6 linked regions of the Canis lupus familiaris genome follow. The protein of the gene in region 4 interacts with the protein of the main gene of each other region in a pairwise test. Links are inferred from orthologs where the notes say so. Each region holds a gene or a part of one and is shown on either strand. Other genes may lie near its edges.

Region 1 (3,066 bases), on a different chromosome or scaffold from region 4:
ACATTTTGTTTATCCATTCCTTTAGTTAATGGGCAATTGAGTTGTTTCCACTTTGAGCTACTGTGAGTAATGCTGCTATAAGCATTTGTGTACACATTTCTGCGTGTACCTATGCTTTCATTCTTTAGTGTATATACCTAGGAATGGAATTGCTAGATCATAGGGCTACATCACAGAAATATAGGTCACAGAAATATAAATTCCTGCCCAAGAGAGTTAAGATACATGTAAGTCTCTTAATATGTATCTCCAAGTTGCTTTTCAAAAAGCTTTGAATTAAGTTTTAACTCTATGATTGAAGATCTTACTGTTATTCATGGTCGGTTCTCAGGAGTAATGATGTCCCAAAATAACAGCCTAGGACAGTGTTGTCCAATAAAAATATCATACAACTCATTAGGTAATTTAAAATCTTCTAGTAGACACATTTTTTAAAAAAGTAATAAACAGGGGAGTGTGGGTGGTGTAGTCCGTTAAGCATCTATCTGACTCTTGATTTCAGCTCAGGTCATGATCTCAGAGACATGAAATTGAACCTCACCTCGGGTTCTGTGCTGAGCACCAAGTCTGCTTGGGTTTCTCTCTGCCTCTCCTTCTGCCTCTCCCCTTGCACACTCGCGTGCTCTCTCTCTTTCTCTCTCAAATAAGTCTTTAAAAAAGTAATAAGTGAAATTAATTTTAATAATATATTTTATTGAACTCAATATATCCAAAATATATCTTTTCAAACTATATATTTAAAAATTATTGCTAAGGTTTTTTTTCTTCTTTATTCACATTCAGTTTCTGAAATCTAACATGTGTTTTACACTTTACATCTCCATTTGTTTTTGTTTCTGGTTTGTTTTTGTTTTGTTTTGTTTTGAGATTGTATTTATTCATGAGAGACACAGAGAGGCAGAGACGCAGACTCCCCACAAGGAGCCAGATGCAGGATTCAATCCTGGAACCAGGGATCATGCCCTGAGACAAAGGCAGATGCTCAGCCTCTGAGCCACCCAGGTGTCCCTCACATCTCCATTTGAACTAGGCACATTTCCAGTGCTCAGTAGCCAAGTGTGGCTTAGTGGCTACTGTATGGAATAGCACAGGTCTAGGAATTTGGCTATCTTCTTTGGAAGGTGGCAGGCGGTTACTTTTAAAAACATATCCTCATTTATGTCCCTTTGTTACCTTACTCTTTTTAATAAAAATGAAGCAGAAACAAAATTTAACTGACTAAAAAAGCCTCCTAGATAAGAGAATGGCTTACTAAATACTGTTTTACTGCTTCATATTTCTACCTGTTGAGTAACAATGTATAATGGGTGAAAAAAAAGACAACTTTAAAAGATACACTCCTTTATTCCAGCTTACTTGAACAGATCCTGGGGCTAGTTTTGTTTCTAGAATCTACATTATGTTACTGAATGCTAAACACCAGTGCAATGTTGCTCCCGAACATCCTGCTCACCGGTACCCCGGGGGTTGGAAAAACCACACTAGGCAAAGAACTTGCATCGAGATCAGGATTGAAATACATTAATGTGGGTGATTTAGCTCAAGAAGTCTGATCAACAGATATCATGGAGTCTGGCAAGATGGCTTCTCCCAAGAGCATGCCGAAAGATGCACAGATGATGGCACAAATCCTGAAGGATATGGGGATTACAGAATATGAACCAAGAGTTATAAATCAGATGTTGGAGTTTGCGTTCCGATATGTGACCACAATCCTAGATGATGCAAAAATTTATTCAAGCCATGCTAAGAAGGCTACTGTTGATGCAGACGATGTGCGGCTTGCCATTCAGTGTCGTGCTGATCAGTCTTTTACCTCTCCTCCCCCAAGAGATTTTTTATTGGATATTGCAAGGCAAAGAAATCAAACTCCTTTGCCGTTAATCAAGCCATATTCAGGCCCCAGGCTGCCACCTGATAGATATTGCTTGACGGCTCCAAACTATAGACTTAAGTCTTTACAAAAAAAGGCATCAACTTCTGCGGGAAGAATAACAGTTCCACGGTTAAGTGTTGGTTCTGTTACTAGCCGACCAAGTACTCCCACTCTTGGTACACCAACCCCACAAACCATGTCAGTGTCAACTAAAGTAGGGACTCCCATGTCCCTCACAGGGCAGAGGTTTACAGTACAGATGCCCACATCACAGTCCCCAACTGTAAAAGCATCAATTCCTGCCACATCCGCAGTTCAGAATGTTCTGATTAATCCATCATTAATTGGGTCCAAAAACATTCTTATCACTACAAACATGGTGTCATCACAAAATACTTCCAATGAATCATCAAATGCATTGAAAAGAAAACGAGAAGATGATGATGATGACGATGATGATGACGATGATGACTATGATAATTTGTAATCTAGCCTTGATGCTGTAACCTGTAAACTTGGTCTTAAATCCATTGTACTGAGATTAAACGTGCATGCTGGGTATTTTGAAGTTGTGTTGTAGAAAACTTAAATGGTATTTAATGAGTAAATATAGTTATCCTTTCCTATTGAATGTTGGGTTTTCTTTAATAGGATTAGTAATGGTTATTCATTAGCCTTTAAGTGTGAAAAATAAAATTGTTGTTCATCAAAAAAAAAAACAAAAAACACCAGTGCAAACATTCTCTTAAATTAATAAAAATTTCTTTTGTTGAGTCTTTAATGATGAAATGAACAGGAAAGAAGAAAAGCAAGAAATAGATTTGACTGTGCTATACTGATGAAAACCATGTTTTTCAATTTATTCTCACAATAAAAAGTATTTGATCTGAAATCCTATATAATCCCAGGATGCAACAATCCTTCTCTGTTGTATGGCAACTTCCTGCCATGCATAATTATTTTCCAAAAGCGTATCAGGTCAGAAATGAAGCAGAGAATGGGGGAAAGAGTCCATAGTGATCTTAGGCAGATTTTATTTTACTAGTAGGAATCAGTTGGATAGTTATTACCACCTGGCACTGCTAATGAGTCTAGTTGGGAAAACAAAGCAGCAAAGCATTCCACAGCAGACTGCACCGTGGTCCAGTTCTGGGGAGTCTTTTGGGGTCTGTTGAGCATCTGAAGATACA
Region 2 (3,572 bases), on a different chromosome or scaffold from region 4:
TAATCTATCAGATAGTGTACCTTATTATGTTTGCTCCTGCAGGTTTTTATAACTTGGAATAAGTGCCTCCTCTCTGTGTCTTTTAGCTTCTGTCAGATGTTATTTATCTGTTCAGACCCAGCTGAGTGATAATAGTGGTAACCAGTATTTGTGTGGCACTAGGTGGTTTGCAGAACATGTCTGATTCTCTTTGTACTCTTCAGATGTTGGTTGAGCTCCTCCTGTGTGCCAGGGATCCTTACCTTCATGCTTCTCTGATCTCAGCCCATCACCAGTAATCCTTGCAGAATCTTGACCTTAATGCTGCGTTGTTAGTTTTTCTGCTACAACAAAGTAATCAACCAGTAGGTTGGAACGTTATTATCACAATCCCCCCCCCCCTTTTTTAAAGATTTATTTATTTATGATAGGCATAGAGAGAGAGAGAGAGGCAGAGACATAGGCAGAGGGAGAAGCAGGCTCCATGCCAGGAGCCCGACATGGGGCTCAATCCCGGACTCCAGGATTGCTCCCTGGGCCAAAGGTAGGTGCCAAACTGCTAAGCCACCCAGGGATCCCCCCCCCTTTTTTAAAGAGGTGCTAGGATTCATACCAAATCTGGGTTTCTTCCTATTCCACCAGTAACCCCAGCATTTCCAAGTATAAGTACCCCCCTCAACCTTTTAAAAGTAGGCTCCATGCCCAGAGTGAGCCCCATGCAGGGCTTGAACTGATAACCCTGAGATCAAGGCCTGAGCTGAGATCAAGAGTTGGATGCTTAACCGAATGAGCCACCCACCCAGGTGTCCCCAGGCCCCCTTTTTTTAAACATCAAGTTTCTTGAGATCCTCCTACATGTTATTAATTGTACTCTTGGGAAAAAAATTGATAATAAAAAGGGGCTACAAATTCAGTGACTCTTAGTTTAAATTTTTATTTCTCTTTGTAACATTCACACATATTTGAAAGATAATAGACAAAGTTTGTCCAGCCACGTACATATTCAGCCTGCCAACAGTACTTGGGGTACACACAGATTCTTAAAATCTTTGTGTTAACCCTGTGCCCATCCTTAGGCCTGGGGGAAGGGCAACACAAGGAGAAACCCCTGACCTATATGCCCTCCATCTTCCTGTGCCCCTCAAAATCAATGACGCTTCCTTCTGTGCATCTTTTATGGCCTTCTATGATGCTTGCTTATTTATGGATCTGTATGTCTTCTCTCACTGTCTGCAAGCTCTAATTTATCATTACATTCTCCAACCACTTAGCATGGTGCTTTTATATCATGGGTTCTTGATGTCTTTGATCAACTCAAGAATGTCTAGAGGCTGGACAGACATGTCTTCTAAAAATGTGGTCTTAGAACATCCAGGGTTTTTTTTTTTTTTTTTTTTTAATTTATTTATGAGAGACACACACAGAGAGACACACAGGCAGAGGGAGAGGGAGAAGCAGGCTCCATGCAGGAGCCCAATGTGGGACTCGATCCCGGGTCTCCAGGATCACGCCCTCGGCTGAAGGCAGCGCTAAACCACTGAGCTACCGGGGCTGCCCAACATCCAGGTTTTTTAAAATGTAGCTAATACACGTCATATGTCATGTTGAAACTGTACCTTTTTGCTTACCCCATACTACATAGCCTATGGAAGTAGTAGCAGTTTCCTGTTTTTACCTCTGCCACTACTTTTTCTGTTAAGATTTCTTAGGTATCTTATAGAAAAAAATCATAGGAAAAAAATACACTTCATTTCGGTGCTTTAAATGTAGTCGTGCAGGTAGACAAGGTCAAAACTGCATTGAACGTGTGTCATAAAATGGTGGTAGTCCTTAGTGCCGTGTATGCCTTACTTTATTTTCAAGTGGCATAGTGTAGGTGTTTGGAAATTAGACTTTGACAGTTGAATCATGAGTATGAGCAGAGTGTTGATGCAGGTTGTTTTGAACGAAGGTGCTATGTGCCTCATTGAAAAAAAATAATCCAGGGGCTGAGCTGTGAATACTGCCAGCAGTGAATGTTTTTACCTGTGTGGGAGTGTGCCTGTGGCCACCAGTGTGGCTTGGTTTGATGCACTTGGCATTGCTTAGGTGGTTCTGACTACTGTTTTAAATATCTAAAGGCCTGTCATAGAGACATTTATCTGGGGCTGAAATATAGGAAGGTGGATTTTAATTCAGTATGAGAAAACTTTCTAAAAGTCAGGACCTCTGTTGTACCAGAGGGATGTAGGGAATCCCACTCAGAGTCTCTCTCCAAAAGAATTCCTAGGCATATCATGTAACTGCCCTCAGTCCTTTCCAGCCAGAAGCCCTCCTACCCAAAACATTATTCTTGCCCCTTTCCTAAGGGGAGCAGTGAACCAATATTAACTAAGATTTTTCAAGTGTTTAAAATATGATTATCCTCATTTTACAGGTAAGAAAAGTAGATACTCAGGTCAAGATGTTCAAAGCTTCTTACCTTGTTTAAGTGGCTGAGTTGGAATTCCAGCTGTGTCTCGAGTCACTGGACCCAAAGCTGTGGAGTATTGATGTAGCATTTTATCAGTTATAAAATGCCTCCATTTGCAAACACTGCTGGGGCAGGTAACAACTGCTGTGTTTGGAGAGAGCTCAGCACACAGTATAATTTGGGTAACACTTTGTTGGGGATATTTTAGAGGAGGGTCAGGCATCAGCTAGTTATTGAATGAGGTGGTGTTTAAAATCTCTTCCAACTTTTTAATATCCTCATCAGTCTTCTGTTCAAATTTGAAAGACACAGAGAGTCATTGTATAATTATGTTGATGAAACTATTATTTTATTTCAGTGAAGAAAATATCTGGAAGCTCTGTGAATACATCAAAAACCATGACCAGTATCCTTTAGAAGAGTGTTACGCTGTCTTCATATCTAATGAGAGGAAGATGGTAAGTTGGTGACTGATTGCAGAAAGAGAACAAGAGATTTAGGGTGATAGTAGAAACTAAATATAATATATGGGGTCAGTGCTGTCCTAACGTGCTTTATAAAATAAAATAACATTTTAAAGTTTATTTTTGAATGAGATTTTTTTTTCCCCTCATTTCAGGGCACAGTTGAGTTAGAAAAGTTAAGTCCCTTATTTGTAGGTCAAGAAATAGATGATGGTGTATTTACACAAGTTAAAGCTTTTTAAATTCCTTAGACTACAGCCATGTACTCTCAGGTTTGAAGTAAAGATGTTTTTGTCTCTGGAGTTTAAATAAAATTATGATAAACTTACATGAATTATTAAAAAAGCAAACCCTTAAAAAAAAGCCCTTAATATTTTGTAAAGCACCTTTTAAATTTTTTTTTAAAGATTTAGATTTTTAAGTAATCCCTACACCCAATGTGGGGCTTGAACTCACAACCCCGAGATCAAGAGTCACACACGCTACCAAATGATCCATCCTGGAGCCCGTAAAGCACTTTTGTAAGCATCATGTCATGCTAATGGAACCATGATAAAGTAGGCAGGGTTCAGATGGCTGTTTCTGTTTTATAAAGGAGGAGATAGAGACTCAGGGAGCTCCCATAACAATCTGGGAAACTAAGACTTGAGAATCTGCCAGGTCTTCTGATTCCCTGT
Region 3 (4,134 bases), on a different chromosome or scaffold from region 4:
TGCAAGCTTTTCCTTCCAACCCTCATACACTCCCTTACACTAGAAAACTTAGAAAAGGCTTAAAATATCCATTGCAGAAAACACAGGTGCAGTAACCGACAAGCCTACAAGAACCTGAGCTATCAGAAAGACTAGCTCCAGGGATCCCTGGGTGGTGCAGCAGTTTAGCGCCTGCCTTTGGCCCAGGGTGCAATCCTGGAGACCCAGGATCGAATCCCACGTCGGGCTCCCCGCATGGAGCCTGCTTCTCCCTCTGCCTATGTCTCTCTGCCTCTCTCTGCCTCTCTCTCTCTCTCTCTCTCTGTGTGTGTGTGTGACTATCATAAATAAATTAAAATTTTTTTTTAAAAAAAGAGTGGTTCCCACAGGCTCCAGCCCTAACTAGAAACGTGCTAATACTTACCGGTACTCAAAACAAAACAATCCCTAAAATCTAGCATTTTCTCCAAGAGCATTAGGCCCATACCTTTCTCTGCCACCCCACTTATATCATGTTGAGAGATTAAAAGTCCATAGTAATTAGTTACACCAACCATACAATTAAACATAGTAGGAAACGAATTCTGAAGAGGTGACGTGCCTAAACCCCAATCTACCTCCCAACAGCTGCTGCTGCTTATTTTTTTTTTTTTTTTCCCTCTAGACCGAAAATCTTAAGACGGCCGCACCAGAACCAGACACGGGCCGGTCTAACTGCATTAAGTGGCTGTAGGGAGGGGCAGGAGAAAATCTTTAAAAAAAGACGGTTTCCTCGTTGCCTATCCTTTACCTCCTCTAGCTACGCCTGTAGATTGGGTCCTAGTTCGGGCATCCTTAATTTCCACCTCGGGCAGCCCTATGGCCTCCTGGGAAGGAGGAACACAACCACTGATGGGCTCCTGGGACAAAACCTTTCACCTGCCGCCTTTCAGGACGAAGGGAAGTGTCTCCGAGCAAACAAGCGCGGAGAATCTGCAGCCCTCGCAGCGTCTCCATCACCCACACGTTCCGAAGATATCTTATCTTCATCAGCTCATGGGGGACCGCGGTCCCTGGTCCCGGCCCTCCTCCCGGTACACTCCGGGCTCCGGGGCCCTTCCCGACCCCGAGCGCCGCCCAAAAAAGTCCCCTGCGGGCCTACCAAGTCACTCCCATGGTATCGGGCCAGGAGGATGGCAGGAACAAACAATCGGATCACAGTAGTCTCTGGCCGCCCACACTAAGTGAAGACCCCTAACGAAAGCTTCGGCCGAGGGAGGTGCTCCGGAAATGACGCAAAAGGAGAGCGTCCAGTCGACGCGCCCACGAGGAACAGGGGCAGGTCTAGGCATCTCCTCGGTGACGCCTCCAGTGACGTCACTACCCAACTCTGGCCCCGGCTTTGCAGCTAGGCAAGTCCACGTTTGGCTGGGAACAGAGGTCCTCGATCTATGAAAGTAGAAAACCACCGCTCGGACTGCCACCACTTGCAGAAGCCAGCGTTAGAAGCAGTGAGTTCATTCGGGGACCGGCTGGCTCCAGGCCCCGCTCTTACGGGGTGTGGCGGCGCTGATGGCCTTCCCGGCCTCCGGACGCCGGGAGGCGCTGTGAGCTCCGCGGGGGCCTCTTGGGAGCTGGGACTTCACGGCGCAAGTGCGCTCAAGGCTTTTTTTTTTTTTTTTCCTCGTCTGTACCCCACGTGTAAACCTTTCTGGCAGAGTTCTGGAAAAAAATGCCCAAATTCAAGCCGGCTCGCGGAGCTGCAGGCCAGGAAAAACATGCGCCGCTGGCTGAGCAAATCCTGGCTGGGGACGCGGCGCGGGCAGGGCCCCGGGAGAAGCGGCGGGGTCGTGGGACCAGAGAGGAGGACGAAGAGTATGTGGGGCCCCGGCTGACCCGACGGATTTTGCAGCAAGCGCGGCAGCAACAGGAGGAACTCGAGACCGAGCATGGGACTGGGAACAAGGCCGCAGCCCCGCGCGAGCGCACCACGCGTCTGGGTAAGTGGGGGAGGGGGGTGCCAGGAAGAGGGTGGTTAGTTTTGGAGGGAGGGGGAAGTAGATAGACGGCCAAAAGGTTCTGCCAGGGGAATCCTTTGGAATAAAAAAAGTGAAATTGAATAAGGAGTCCGCATCACACCCTTGCAAAGGTGATGAAATGGGAGACCCAGCCCTGGAATAGATTCAGGGTGGTCAGAGCTCTCTATGCCCACTTGTTGCTTTAGATGCTTGCGTCTAGGCAGTCTCTAAGTTAGACCAACAAGAAGTTAATTGGTCACACTATTGAGCACTCCTAACGTTTATCCATCTGTTCTGTACATTCTTGTAGGTTGTCTAGTCCGTACTTTGCACTGTGCTAGGTAGGAGTTTAGATGGTTTTGAGTAAAAAAGGAAGCAAGATAGCCATGACCCTGACTTCAAGATCTTACAGTCTAACCTGAGAGACAATTAAATTGACGATTCGAATAATACATTTCATGATGAAAGTATAGTTTTGGGACACCTGGGTGTCTCAGTGGTTGAGCATCTGCCTTGGGCTCTGGGCAGGATCGCGGGGTCCTGGGATGGAGTCCCGCGTCGGGATCCCAGCGGGGAGCCTGCTTCTCCCTCTGCCTATGCCTCTGCCTCTCTCTGTGTGTTTCTTGTAAATAAATAAATGAAAATCTTTTTTTTTTTTTTTAAGTATAGTTTCATCTTAAAACAAGAGCATTAGTTTTGGGGGTCAGGGTTCCTAGGTTACATGACTTTGGTGCTGAAAACTAGTGGAGAGAGAGCTCTAAGCAGAATGAACGATATTGTTTAGGTGCTATAAAGAGGGAGAGAGACTAATAAAAAGATGGTCTTTTTTTTTTTTAATTTTTTAGGGTGTAAGTGTTGACCTCCGGGTCACTTAATACATTTCTCAGGTCACATCTTTCATTTGTCCTGAGAGCAGTGTTTGACACAATTAAACACTGGCCTCCTGGGTTCGGTATCTTTACTTGGCTTCTGAGCCATCCCATTCCTGTTTTAGTACTTCTTCACCTCTCAGCATCTTTTGCTGGCTCTTTTGTCCCCAGCCTTTTATCATTGATATGCCACAAGTTTGGTTCTTGGACCTCTTCTTTTCATATCTCTTCTCTGGTGCTGTCATCCATTTCACGGTTTAAGTACCATCTATTTGGTAACTGTTCCCACCCTTGTATTCTTGCCCTGATCTCTTCCATGAAAATCAGATTCTTCTATTTTAGCTGCCTTTTTGACATCCCCAATTTGAAATCTAATAGACGTCTTAAATTTATTTTTTTTAAGATTTTATTTATTTTTTCATAAAAGACACAGAGAGAAGGCAGAGACATAGGCAGAGGGAGAAGCCGGCTCCTCACAGGGAGCCCGATGCCGGACTTGATCCCAGAACTCTGGGATCCCTCCCTGAGCTGAAGGCAAACGCTCAACCGCTGAGCCACCCAGGCGTCCCAAGAGATCTCAAATTTAATGTGTCCAAAACAGAAATCCTGATCTTCTCGCCAAACCTGCTCCTCCCACTATCAGCTCAGTTAATAGGATGCTATCCTTCCATTTGATCAAGGCAAGCCTTGGATTTCTTTCTTATTCCACATTTGATATGTTAGGAAATCTTGTTGACTCGTATCTTCAAAATAGATCAGAGTCGGGCAGCCCGGGTGGCTCAGTGATTTAGCACCGCTTTCAGCCCAGGGCCTGATCCTGGAGACCCGGGATCGAGTCCCACGTCAGGCTCCCTGCATGGAGCCTGCTTCTCTCTCTGCCTGTGTCTCTCTCTCTCTCTCTCTCTCTCTCTCTCTCTCTCATGAATGAATGAATGAATGAATGAATGAATAAATAAATAAATAAATAAATAAATAAATAAATAAATAAATAAATAAATCAGAGTCAGACCACATCTCATCACCTTGGAACACAGTCCTATTTGAACCACCATAATCTCTCACCTGGATTATTTTTAGTAGCTTCCTAATTAGCATACAGTCACCCTTACAGTCCACTCACAATAATTGGATGACTTAAAAGACCTCCATGATCTGCCCCTGTTGCCAATCTGACCTCCTCTACTACTTTCCCCTTACTCTCTTCATCCATACAGGCTTTATTTTTCCTTAAACATACTAACTTAGGGCTTTTGTCCTGGTTATTCCTTCTGTTTTCTTACCCATGTAGG
Region 4 (3,572 bases):
CTTTCTGGTGTTTTAGATTACAGTGTACTATATTTACTCTTTTTTTCATCTCCCAGTACAATAGGTTTTAATGTTTTGACAATTTTTAAAAGGTCCTGATAATTTTCCCCATTTGATTATTCAGATTGTTTTGCATGATTTCAGCCTGCAAGGTCATTTTTGTAGCCTCACACTACCATACAAAGTGAGGACTGCTGTATTACCAAGTTGTAAGCATGTTTAATTTCTGAGGACACAGAGCAAGATAGACAAATTTTGCAGAATTCATATTGCCTTTCCCTGCTGGAACATATCAATGATCTTTTGGATTATCTAATGGTTACACATATATTTTTTTTTCTGAGAGTACTAATAACAGGGTGACAAGCTTGTTTATTTTTTGATGAAGGAAAGATTGTCTCTGATAAATGACCAAGAAACTACCTCTGCTGTTACAGTTTTTTTTGTTTGTTTGTTTTTTTGTTTTGTTTTTTTGTTACAGGGTTTTTTAAGGGTCTCCTGTCACTGAGCACTCCATGCTTTCATGTGCATACCCAGCCTCTACATCAGTGGACAGTTTGTTTGTGGTTGTTTTTCTAATGATATAAGTTCCCTGTAGATGAACATTTTCACTACCGGGAAATGACTTATTGTCTCTCCTTCCTACCATCTGGTTTCAGCCATGAAAGAACCTGGGAAATTTGATTTGGTTTATCACAACGAAAACGGAACTGAGGTAGTGGAGTACGCTGTGACGCAGGAGAAGAGGGTAGGCACGCTTCTCTTCTTGGGATTGCTTGGTTGTTCATTCTCTCTCCACTGGCTCCTGGTGGTCTGGAAGGTGACATTGCAGCTTCCTGAACTGCCTATGTTAAAGCCATAAAAGATGTAGGCCCTGGGATCCCTGGTCTGCCTACAGGGTGGCAGTTTCAGTGTCCAGTGCCAAGTTAGGGTGCCATCTTGGATCTCAAAGAGCCTATGTGACAAGGCGCACAAATAGCAAAGTCTTATTGAAGACTATAGAGTTGCATAAAATCGTAGTTATGTCACAGTTTTGGTAGAAAAGAATAGTGTATTTAAAAAACTTTATTGATATATACATTGAGAAAAGTATACTTAAATATATAGCTTGAACAGTTGTCACAAATGAACATACCCATATCACCAGCACCTAGGTCAAGAAGCAGAACATTAATAACAGCCCCCCTGGAAGTCTCCATCATGCCTCCCTGTAGTTACTACTACCTCCCGGTTGTTACTGTGATTGTGACTTACAACAGCATAGATGGTTTCAAAGAATGACATAAAATGACGATTCTGTCTTTTGACTTCTGCTTAAATCCTTAAAGTGCCATTTTAGGAAATATCTGGTTTAGAGCTTTTAGACAGCCAGACTTCCAGAATTGCTGGCAATGACTGACTCATGAGGCTGTGCTAACATTAAGCTAAATAGAATTTATATTTAAGAAAATGCTTCCTCTTAAGGTGTTTATATTTGAAATGTTATGGTTATTATTCTGTAACTTTCAGTATTGAAAAGTCACATTTTAGAAATGTAAACTTGTAGAAACCCTAACCAGACTATGTTTTGCTTTGTCTTTAGGATAGATGACACTTTTAGGGATTTATTCCAAAAATACATTTTTAGGGTCTGTGGGATCAGCAGATTTGGCCAAGTCTCCTGTACTTCTTTATTTGCAATGTATGCCTGTTCACTTTTTTGTTGAAATGTATTCTTGGAAACTACATTGGAAAATTAAACCTTGGAAGCTTTCCTCTCTATGCCTTATTAAATGGGGCCTGAAGCAGAGCCTGTCATTCATTAACCTTTCTCTGACACTAGATGGCCCTCGTGATTCATCCACATGGCCAAGCGTTAGTATTTGCTCTTGGTAAAACCTGAACCGCCTAGATTTAGGTAGCAAAGGATAGGAACTGTAGAGCTGTGCAAAGGAACATCAGGAGTCCAGTAATAACCCTAATGGGCCATATCTGCCTATGAAGAGTATTTGTGCCACTGAGCCACAGGGTCTGGTTGGGCAAATCCTCTTGACCCTGGGTAACCAGCTGCCCCACACCCTAGCCCATCCCACCCCCTGCTTGAAATGAGAGAAGGGTGAAATGTGTTTATTTATTTTATTTATTTATTTATTTTTTGTGAAATGTGTTTAAAGTGTAGTTGCATTCTAGGTAAACAGGTGCTTCTGTCCTAATTGAACTCAGCTTACTGGGACTCAGATCATTCCAGGTCTTCTTCAGCCAATTCTGCACAAATGGAAATTTACTTGACTGAAGTTTTTAACCAACTAAAATTTCTGTGACCTCAAAATGAAACCTCTAAACCAAATATTTTGTGTTTTTCCCCAGATCACTGTTTTTTGGAGGGAGTTGATTGACCCAAGATTGATTGTTGAATCTCTGAGTACCACACCAAGTACAGAGCCTGCTTGAGGATGACCTCTCCACCTCATAGTTTATAAATGTTTTGTTGGTGAAAGCGACTATAACCTGAACTTTAAGAAAAAAAAAAAAGATTCGAAAGTTGTATGCATTTTTTGTTCACTTTACTGCATAGGAAAAAAAATCTACCTCATCATTTAAAATAACATGGATATGCTTTTTGTAGATCTTTTTTTTCTTCTTCCAGGCTTAATTTCAGTAACAAAATTTAAAACATGACATTCCCTGCAGGCATTGTTATATATCAGTATATATGGTTTCTTCTCTTTTTTTATTTATTTTTTGACCATCAAGTAGCCAACGTCAGTAGGAGTTTATAACACCAAGTACAAGAAAATGCTGCATATCTTGTCTCAGTAAGTTCTATTAAGTAACATTTTAAAACATGAAAGCATGTTACTTGACCTAATTTTTTTAACATTCGAGTTGTTCCATTAAATGTGGAACATCTTATAAATTGCAAGTATTTTATACTTGTAACTGTCAAGAATTTAAAAGTAACTGGGTTTGTTGCAGGCAATGAGTTAAGGAATCCTTTCACATTTTTCTCAACTTTAAAATTGAGGATTTCCAGAGCCCTGGGTAGAGCAATGAAAATAAGACTTTGTATGTTTGCCTGGGGACGAACTGGTATTCCACCTGGGTGAGGGGATTTCCTATGAGTTCAGGCCAGGGAACCTGTTATCTTACTACAAGATCCCAAGCACCTGGCTGAGTGTGCTGGAGTGAGGACTGAACAGAAACTCTGGTTTCTGTTATTATTCAACACAAAGCTAAAATGGCTAAATATATACTGTGAAAATTGCTTCCTTTTAACAAAGATTAGGTTCCTCTTCAGCTTTGCAAATTTTTAAATAAAATCATATTGAACTAAACTTCCATGCTGAGTCATCATGTTTAGTTGAGTATTGTAAACTGCCGTCTTATTTCACAATAACACGAGAGATACAAATGTTCTGGAACAGGAAAGTTTGCTTTGACTGAAGAGTCTATCGTTGCAAAGCTTAGTCCAATGAGATGCATTAGATCTAGGAGCTATTGGGCCGGTGGTGCTGTCCAGTTTTAACCTGCATGACATTGATGTGTATCAAATGTGTATTTATTGATCTGTAATGGGAAGTGTTACTCCAGAA
Region 5 (3,002 bases), on a different chromosome or scaffold from region 4:
TGAAGCTGAGGCCAGAATCCACCACCCACCGTGGGAGGGTGGGGAGTACAGGCCCCACTCATGCCCAGCCCACCTGACTAGCTGACACCCGCCCCCCCCCCCCCCCCCGCAGGCGCTGCTCTGGAACACATCCATCCCCACAGCCCCAAAGTCTGCCTCCTCCAGGGAGCCCTCCCTGCCTCCCCCCACACAGATCTGCACACACCCCCCCCCCGTGGCCCCCGGATCGAGGAGCTCACCTCACCCCGCCCCCAGGGACACAGCCTCATCGTCCCTTCCACCCTCTGTGGCTGCTGCCCCACCATCTCTGACTCCACCACCTACTCCAGCCCTGGCACGAACCCGCGGCCTAGAGCTGCCCGCAGGTATGGCCTCCAGGGCCCTATCCAAGGGGTCCCCCGGCCAGGATCAATGCGCTCCCCGACACACGCGGGCTCTGCAGGGCGCCTCTTCCACGCCGCCCTCCAGGACCACCCGCTCCAGCCTCCGCCCTGCTCTGAGTCCTCAGAGCCCCGACCGCCCGCACCCCCAGGCCCTTCCCCCAGGGCCGCAGAGGGCAGGCTGGGGCGCTGGGGGGGCAGGAGCTGCGGCCGAGCCGGCCGTCGGGGCTACAGTGCGGCCGAGCGGGCCGGGCCGGGGCGGGGACAGCCTTCGCCGCGCCGGGCCGGGAGGGGCCGCGGGAAGGTCCCTCCGGGGCCCCCCTGCCCCCGCCCCCCGCCGCGGGTCCCCGCGCCCCCGGCCCCGGCCCGGCCCCGCCACTTGTTGCTGCGGCTCGGCTCGGGGCTCCAACTCTGCGCCCGCTCGGCTCGGCCCCGGCTCGGGTCCGGGTCCCGGTCGGGGGTTCCGAGGGGCGGGACCTCGGCCGCATCCCCGCGGACCGGCTCTGTACCTGCGCGCGGTCCGCCCGCCGCGCAGCTGTCAGTCATGCGGACACGAGGAAGGCGAAGCGCCGCCGTCGGGCCCTTTCGGTCCCGCTAGGCCGCCGTAGGCCGGGACGTACCAAGGCGAAGGGCCGGGGGGGGGGCGACGCTTGCTCCGGTAGCGGCCGCGTGGGCCCCGGAGCCCCCGGTCCGCGCGGAAGGAGCTCGGCCCGGCAGGGAACGGACGGCGGCGGCAGTGGGGCCGGGGGGCGGGCCGGGGGCGGCCGGGGGCGTGGCGGGACTGGGACTTCTCCCCCCCGCGCCATGGACGCGCCCTCGGCGGGGCCTGCTCCCGGGCGGAAGCGCCGCCCCGTCTGCCAGTCCCCGCGCCGCCGCCGCCGCCGCCGCCAGCGCCATGATCATCCCGGTCCGCTGCTTCACCTGCGGCAAGATCGTCGGCAACAAGTGGGAAGCCTACCTGGGGCTGCTGCAGGCCGAGTACACCGAGGGGTGAGGCTCCGGGCCGGGCGGCGTGCGGAGCCGGGGCCGCGGGGGGCGGGGGGGGCCCTGCTGGGCGCGGGGCCGGCGGGTCGGGCCGGGGCGCGGGGGGCGGGGCGCGGGGCGCGGGGGGCCCCGGAGGGACCAGGTGCCGGCCGCGAGCAAGGGGGCAGGCGGGCAGCGGGACTGCGGGACCGCGGGGACTTGCACACGGACCCCGGCAGGTCGTGGCTCCTGCCCGGAGCAGTTCGGGGCTCCCTGCCCTCCCGCCCTCGGAGGCCCCCGCGCCCGCGAGCCCGCGGCTCTGGGGTCGTGGGCCGGGCTTCCTGGCCACGGAGCCCTGCGGAGCGGGCCGTCCCGGGGCCGCTCTCCCGTCGCTGCCCGTCAGCGCGGGCGTCAGCACCGGCCTCGCGGGCGTCTGCACCTTTAACCCCGGCCTGCGGCGTTTGGGGTGAGCGGGGAGGCCAGGTTGCTGGGGAGTCTGTCGGAAAGACCGAGTGTGAGGGAACCGGCCGGAGGCCCTGGAAGCCCCGGGCAGGAACCGCCCAGCCCTGCGGCTTCCCAGCTCGGCGGCGCTGCACGTCGGAGCAGTGCTCTGGGGATTTTCTGGAAGCCCTTGGGGCAACAGGGGCTGGGCCCCAGGGACACTGACAACTCTAATCGGCTTGGGAAACGGCAGAGAGACGGCTCCCTCCGCGGGGGCGGGGAGGGGGGGCTTGCTCCAGCAGGGTTCGGGTCCTCCGTGTGCCCAGGACTGCCTGCCCCAACCGGGTGTGATCTGCCCCTCACCCACAGAGATGCCCTGGATGCGCTGGGCCTGAAGCGCTACTGCTGCCGCCGCATGCTGCTGGCACACGTGGACCTGATTGAGAAGCTGCTCAACTACGCGCCTCTGGAGAAGTGACAAGTGACCTGCTCACGCCCGTCACCCGGTCACCCGCTGTGCTCACCAGGGGCCGTCTGCGCCGTGCCCCCAGGCACTCCAGTGTGGTCGGGGTGGCATGGAGCATGCCTGTCCACCACCTGTGGATGTGTGTCCCTGCTCTGGAAAGAACTGTCCATTAAAGGTCTTTGCAGAACCATGAAGAGGTCCTAACAGTTGGCCTGGCTTTGTGGGACTCCCTGGTGTTTCTGTGTCCTGCCTCATGCTTGAAGCTGTTTGGGGATAGACGTGGCTCTCACCGTTCAGGGCCCAGAGGTGGCGGGGGTGGTGGAGGGCATCTCACAGCCCAGTGACAGTACACAGACAGCCAAGAGCACTCAGGTTGAGGGTCAGGAGACATTGGCCTGCCCACCACCAGGTTCTGGTTGACCTTTAGGACAAGCACGGAGATCCTCACATCCCTTCCCAGGATCTCAACAACCAGATATTTGAGCCCTGAGTGGAATAACTGCTGCAGTCTCGGCTGCCCATCCTGAGATCTTGCTGCCAGAAGCTTCTAGGCTCCAGCCAAGTTCCTGTGGAGGGGCAGGGATGGTGCCCAGCCTCCATAGCCAGCACTGAGACCCGCACAGTGGGTTGAGGGTGGCCCTGAGGAGGCTCTGCTGGGTGTCAGGGTTTGCCAAGCTCCCGGTGGCCTGGGTATTAGCACTTAATCCTACAGGCCTGCCCAAGAGCTATCTGTCCTATTCCAGGTCCACTGA
Region 6 (4,074 bases), on a different chromosome or scaffold from region 4:
ATATTTCAAATGTTCCATAGCCATATGTGGCTAGTGGCTACCATTTTGGTCAGGGCAGTATTGGACCTTCTCTAGAAGGCTGTTGTACATTTAGGAGATTCATGGAGTTCATTCTTGCTTTACATGACCCTTGGTTAAAAACTGTCCTTTTCACTTTCTAGAACCCAATTACTTGGGTTGCTCATTGGTTGAATGTCTGCTCTTGGCTAAGGTGGTGATCCTGGAGTCCTTGGGATCAAGTCCTGCATCAGGCTCCTGCTGCTCCCTCTGCCTGTGTCTCTGCCCCCCCCCCCCCCCCCCCGTGTCTCTCATGAATAAACAAAATCTTTAAAAAAAAGTCAACAGGGATCCCTGGGTGGCGCAGCGGTTTGGCGCCTGCCTTTGGCCCAGGGCGCGATCCTGGAGACCCGGGATCGAATCCCACATCGGGCTCCCGGTGCATGGAGCCTGCTTCTCCCTCTGCCTGTGTCTCTGCCTCTCTCTCTCTCTCTGTGACTATCATGAATAAATAAAAATTAAAAAAAAAATTTAAAAAAAGTCAACAGGTTACTTTCTGTATATTCACTGCACATTAAGTTTGCTTATGAATAAATTCCTTGGGATAAATCCAACAACTTTATAGAAACTGAAAAGTGGGCTACTGATTTGTCGGACTTCGAAAAAAAAAAAAATAATGAGGATATGCTGGTTAAACGGCTTTTGGCCCTTGCTCTCTATCCCTGTATTCTGGTATGATCACAGAATTTAGCTTCTAGATATTACGGGTTACCGGTTTCCACCTTCCTGACACGTAAACTTCAGGGTCTGCACCTTTTAGGGCATGTAAAGCTCTCTCCAAAAACCAGGCAGTAGCCGCTGAACTTGCATAGCTAGGGATTTATCCAAAGCCCCCTTCTATTTTTAGCCGGAACAACTGCTTGCCAACTCATTTCTGGAGAGAGAAAAGCATCCGTTACAAAACAGACACGCGGAGCGTACCTTTGCCAGGTACTGCTCGGAATCCCCTGACTACTCCCACCGAAACTCGGTAGCTCGATTGTTCTCCGGCGCCGGCTGCAGCGCGCCTCGGCACGCCCGCGCGCCCGACTCCGCCCGCCCCGGGCAGCCCTGCACCGCCGCTGCAGCCCTGCACCGCCGGGGCGGGGCCCGGAGCGCGGGGGGCGTGTCCCCGCCTGGGGGCGGGGCCGGGAGCGCGGGGGGGCGTGTCCTCCCTGGGGGCGGGGCCGGGGAGTGCGAGAGGGCGGAAGTCCCCGGGGGCGGTGGGGCCGGCGCGCGCACCCCGAGTCACTTGTCAGCGCTCGTCTGAGGCGGAGGCTGCGGAGGCTGCGGCGGCGCTGCGGGCTCGAGGTGAGTGGCCGCCGGGCGGGGATGCGGACCCGGAGGGAGGAGGGCGCGAAGCGGTCTCCCTGCGCCCGGGACGCGGGGGGCCGCGCGGCTGTGGAGGAGGAGGAGGGGGCGCGCCTCGCGCGGGGCCGGCTCCTCAGGTGCCTGCCGGAGCGGTTGAGGTGAGAGCCGCGTGGGAAGACGAGCTCCGGGGCAGGGCGGCGCGGGAGCGGCCGCAGGGCCAGAGCGCGAGCGCTGCGAGTTCCCGGAGCCCGGGTGGTCCGGCACGAGCGCGGCGGCGGCGGCGGCGGCGGCGGCGGGGACCCGCCGGGACCCCTGGGCGCACCCACGTCAAGCACGAACCTCGTGGCGTGTGGGGAGCGGGGCTCCACGCGAAAGGCGCGTTATTTTTATTTGTTTGCTTTCTCGCTCCTGAGACGTGTTTATTTCCCCTCAGATATTAAAAAATTGAGTACTCGTGTGGGCAGACTGCCGTGCGACCTGAAAGAAAGCTTTTTTAAAAAAAAAAAATCTGTGGTAATCTCCAGATTTGTTGATACTCGAGTACTTGTTGGGACTTCTGTTGAGGCTGTGCCTTCGGTGCGTTCGATGACAGAAGTGGATAAAGGAAGGGGGGAAAGAGGAGCGAAAATTCGTGGCCGCGTTGGGCAGGGCAGGGCAGGGCAGGGCAGGGCAGGTCCGGGGTGTGATCGCCAGCTCCCCTCCCAAGGCCGCCTTCCTGACCGTGAGGGCGTCGGACCTGCCCGCCGCGGAAACGGCCCGCTCCGGAGCCTTATTTGGCCAACGGGGCTAGGCGTGAACCTCTTCTGGAAAACTGCCTGGTCGACTCCTCTCCTAGTGTGCGCGCCCGTAGCTTGGGTTCTTCAGCTCCGTCTCCGTTTTCTCCCTCAGTTTGGGAAAAGAGAATCGCAAGATACTGCTTGTTCTTCAGACCGTTCCTGTCACTGTGAGTTGCCCTTTCCGCCTTCCCGCTCACCGAAGAGGCGAAGAAGCCGGGGGTGGGGGGTGGGGGGGTGGGGGGTGGTTAGAAGTGTGGGAATTACCAAGCTTCCTTCCCAAGTGAGAGAGCGAAGACATTGTTTAGACTTTGCCCCAAAGAAAATTCCCAAGCTGTGTAGAGAAGGTCCAACATTTCCTTCGTGTTCGAAAGCAGAATGGGCTGCTCGCTCTTTCCTGCCTGCTTAGTATTTCAGGAGGAGTTTTGGGCACTAATAACCAGACGGAGGAGATCTGGAAAAGGACAGCGAGGATATTACCATTGCTTGGGGATCAGAATGTTTTTTAAGGCAAGTGAAGCTAGCCGAGGGGGAATACTAGAAGTGAAATGACATGGTTCTGTAGTGCGGCTATGACCTTGCCAGGGCTAGCAATTCTAATAAACGAGGTAGGTCAGGAAGGGAGTTCCCAAGTAAAGGGAAGTTGTATGTACATGGTTTGATATATAAATTACATACATTCTCTTGTAGGGAATAATGGGGACGGAAGAAGTTGAGCCTAACTTCCACATTCTTCTCTTGATACAAGTTAAAGATTAAAAAAGGAGGGGGCAAGCTGCCTGTGAAATATCTGTCGGCTCTACACACTTCTGATATGTATCCTAGAATTCCAGTGTCAGGGCGGTCTTTATTAGTTCTATGAAAATCTTTTATTACGGCAGGAAAGCAATTAAATTATGTATGGCTCTTTAATTTTTCTACTTATTTGTTCATATGTATCTACCAGTTTGACTTCTGGAATGGCCAGTGGGTCTTTTAGGGCCCTGTGCATATTACATCAGTCCTGAATTTGTCCTGCCATGCCAGTGTAAAAGCTCATTTCTTTTCTGGTTAGATGCAGTGTAGATTTTTATTGGTTTAATTTTTCTTTAAGAGCCAGACTTGAAAGTTTTGCCTCATTTCCCCCTTATTAGAGGATGTAATCTGTTTGTTTTTATTATACACAGTAGTTCGATATGTACATTTGCCAATATTAATTTGGTGTAATGGGATCAAAGATTTGAATGGGTTAAAAAAATGGAAAAATGTTTTAATGTAAGTAATATAAGGTGATGATTTAGTCCAACAGCACAGATTGTCCAAGCAAGTGTGCCTTCAATGGTTTTAAGATTATTAAATTATACATCTGTTGTATTTTCAATATTTTTATTTTTTTAAGGTTTTATTTATTTATTCATGAGAGACACACACGGGGGCGGGGCGGGGGAGTGGGAGCAGAGACACAGGCAGAGGGAGAAGCAGGCTCCATGCAGGGAACCCATGTGGGACTCAATGTGGGACTCGATCCTGGGTCTCCAGGATCACACCCTGGGCTGAAGGCGGCGCTAAACTGCTAAGCCACCAGGGCTGCCCGTTAATATTTTTGAAGAGAGAAATGTTTCATAGCATTACATTTTAGAAAATATCCATTTCTTCCAATTTCTCCCACCACACATAAACATCACATCAACCAATACCAAACTCAAAGTCACACTTTTTTTTTTTTTTTAAGATTTTATTTATTTATTCATGAGAGACACAGAGAGAGAAGCAGGCTCCATGCAGGGAGCCTGACATGGGACTCGATCTGGGACTCCAGGATCAAGCCCTGGGCTGAAGGCAGGCGCTCAATTGCTGAGCCACCTAGGCGTCCCCACACTTCTTTTAATTATATAAAAGTCCAACCATGAGAGTCATTGTGGGTGTACTTACAGCAAAACAAAAAAGACAGCACTGAAGTGCTGCTTTTTTTCTA

Evidence for each region.
Region 1: the proteins of COIL (region 4) and TAF9 interact in a two-hybrid assay, tested with the Homo sapiens proteins (2 studies listed by BioGRID and IntAct). The link is inferred for Canis lupus familiaris from reciprocal best matches to the Homo sapiens genes COIL and TAF9.
Region 2: the proteins of COIL (region 4) and NTAQ1 interact in binary tests that used the Homo sapiens proteins (3 or more experiments, as listed by UniProt). The link is inferred for Canis lupus familiaris from reciprocal best matches to the Homo sapiens genes COIL and NTAQ1.
Region 3: the proteins of COIL (region 4) and BYSL interact in binary tests that used the Homo sapiens proteins (3 or more experiments, as listed by UniProt). The link is inferred for Canis lupus familiaris from reciprocal best matches to the Homo sapiens genes COIL and BYSL.
Region 5: the proteins of COIL (region 4) and POLR2L interact in binary tests that used the Homo sapiens proteins (3 or more experiments, as listed by UniProt). The two-hybrid records come from large-scale screens. The link is inferred for Canis lupus familiaris from reciprocal best matches to the Homo sapiens genes COIL and POLR2L.
Region 6: the proteins of COIL (region 4) and PDLIM5 interact in binary tests that used the Homo sapiens proteins (3 or more experiments, as listed by UniProt). The two-hybrid records come from large-scale screens. The link is inferred for Canis lupus familiaris from reciprocal best matches to the Homo sapiens genes COIL and PDLIM5.

Annotation. Positions count from the first base shown.
Region 1 is NC_049257.1:19,523,825-19,526,890, reverse strand, and holds TAF9 (transcription initiation factor TFIID subunit 9), read left to right. Parts: upstream 1-1,437; 5' UTR 1,438-1,565; coding exon 1,566-2,363; 3' UTR 2,364-2,502; downstream 2,503-3,066. UniProt on the Homo sapiens protein: The TFIID basal transcription factor complex plays a major role in the initiation of RNA polymerase II (Pol II)-dependent transcription.
Region 2 is NC_049234.1:22,159,694-22,163,265, forward strand, and holds part of NTAQ1 (protein N-terminal glutamine amidohydrolase), read left to right. Parts: intron 1-2,789; coding exon 2,790-2,889; intron 2,890-3,572. UniProt on the Homo sapiens protein: Mediates the side-chain deamidation of N-terminal glutamine residues to glutamate, an important step in N-end rule pathway of protein degradation.
Region 3 is NC_049233.1:10,768,197-10,772,330, forward strand, and holds the start of BYSL (bystin), read left to right. Parts: upstream 1-1,312; 5' UTR 1,313-1,469; exon of another isoform or gene 1,470-1,676; 5' UTR 1,677-1,690; coding exon 1,691-1,958; intron 1,959-4,134. Other genes in the region: MED20 (mediator of RNA polymerase II transcription subunit 20), read right to left, coding at 1,121-1,134. UniProt on the Homo sapiens protein: Required for processing of 20S pre-rRNA precursor and biogenesis of 40S ribosomal subunits. May be required for trophinin-dependent regulation of cell adhesion during implantation of human embryos.
Region 4 is NC_049230.1:31,705,603-31,709,174, reverse strand, and holds the end of COIL (coilin), read left to right. Parts: intron 1-659; coding exon 660-748; intron 749-2,346; coding exon 2,347-2,430; 3' UTR 2,431-3,314; downstream 3,315-3,572. UniProt on the Homo sapiens protein: Component of nuclear coiled bodies, also known as Cajal bodies or CBs, which are involved in the modification and assembly of nucleoplasmic snRNPs.
Region 5 is NC_049239.1:45,633,265-45,636,266, reverse strand, and holds POLR2L (DNA-directed RNA polymerases I, II, and III subunit RPABC5), read left to right. Parts: upstream 1-1,205; 5' UTR 1,206-1,275; coding exon 1,276-1,370; intron 1,371-2,153; coding exon 2,154-2,262; 3' UTR 2,263-2,454; downstream 2,455-3,002. UniProt on the Homo sapiens protein: DNA-dependent RNA polymerase catalyzes the transcription of DNA into RNA using the four ribonucleoside triphosphates as substrates.
Region 6 is NC_049253.1:22,629,791-22,633,864, reverse strand, and holds the start of PDLIM5 (PDZ and LIM domain protein 5), read left to right. Parts: upstream 1-1,217; 5' UTR 1,218-1,347; intron 1,348-2,142; exon of another isoform or gene 2,143-2,290; intron 2,291-4,074. UniProt on the Homo sapiens protein: May play an important role in the heart development by scaffolding PKC to the Z-disk region. May play a role in the regulation of cardiomyocyte expansion. Isoforms lacking the LIM domains may negatively modulate the scaffolding activity of isoform 1.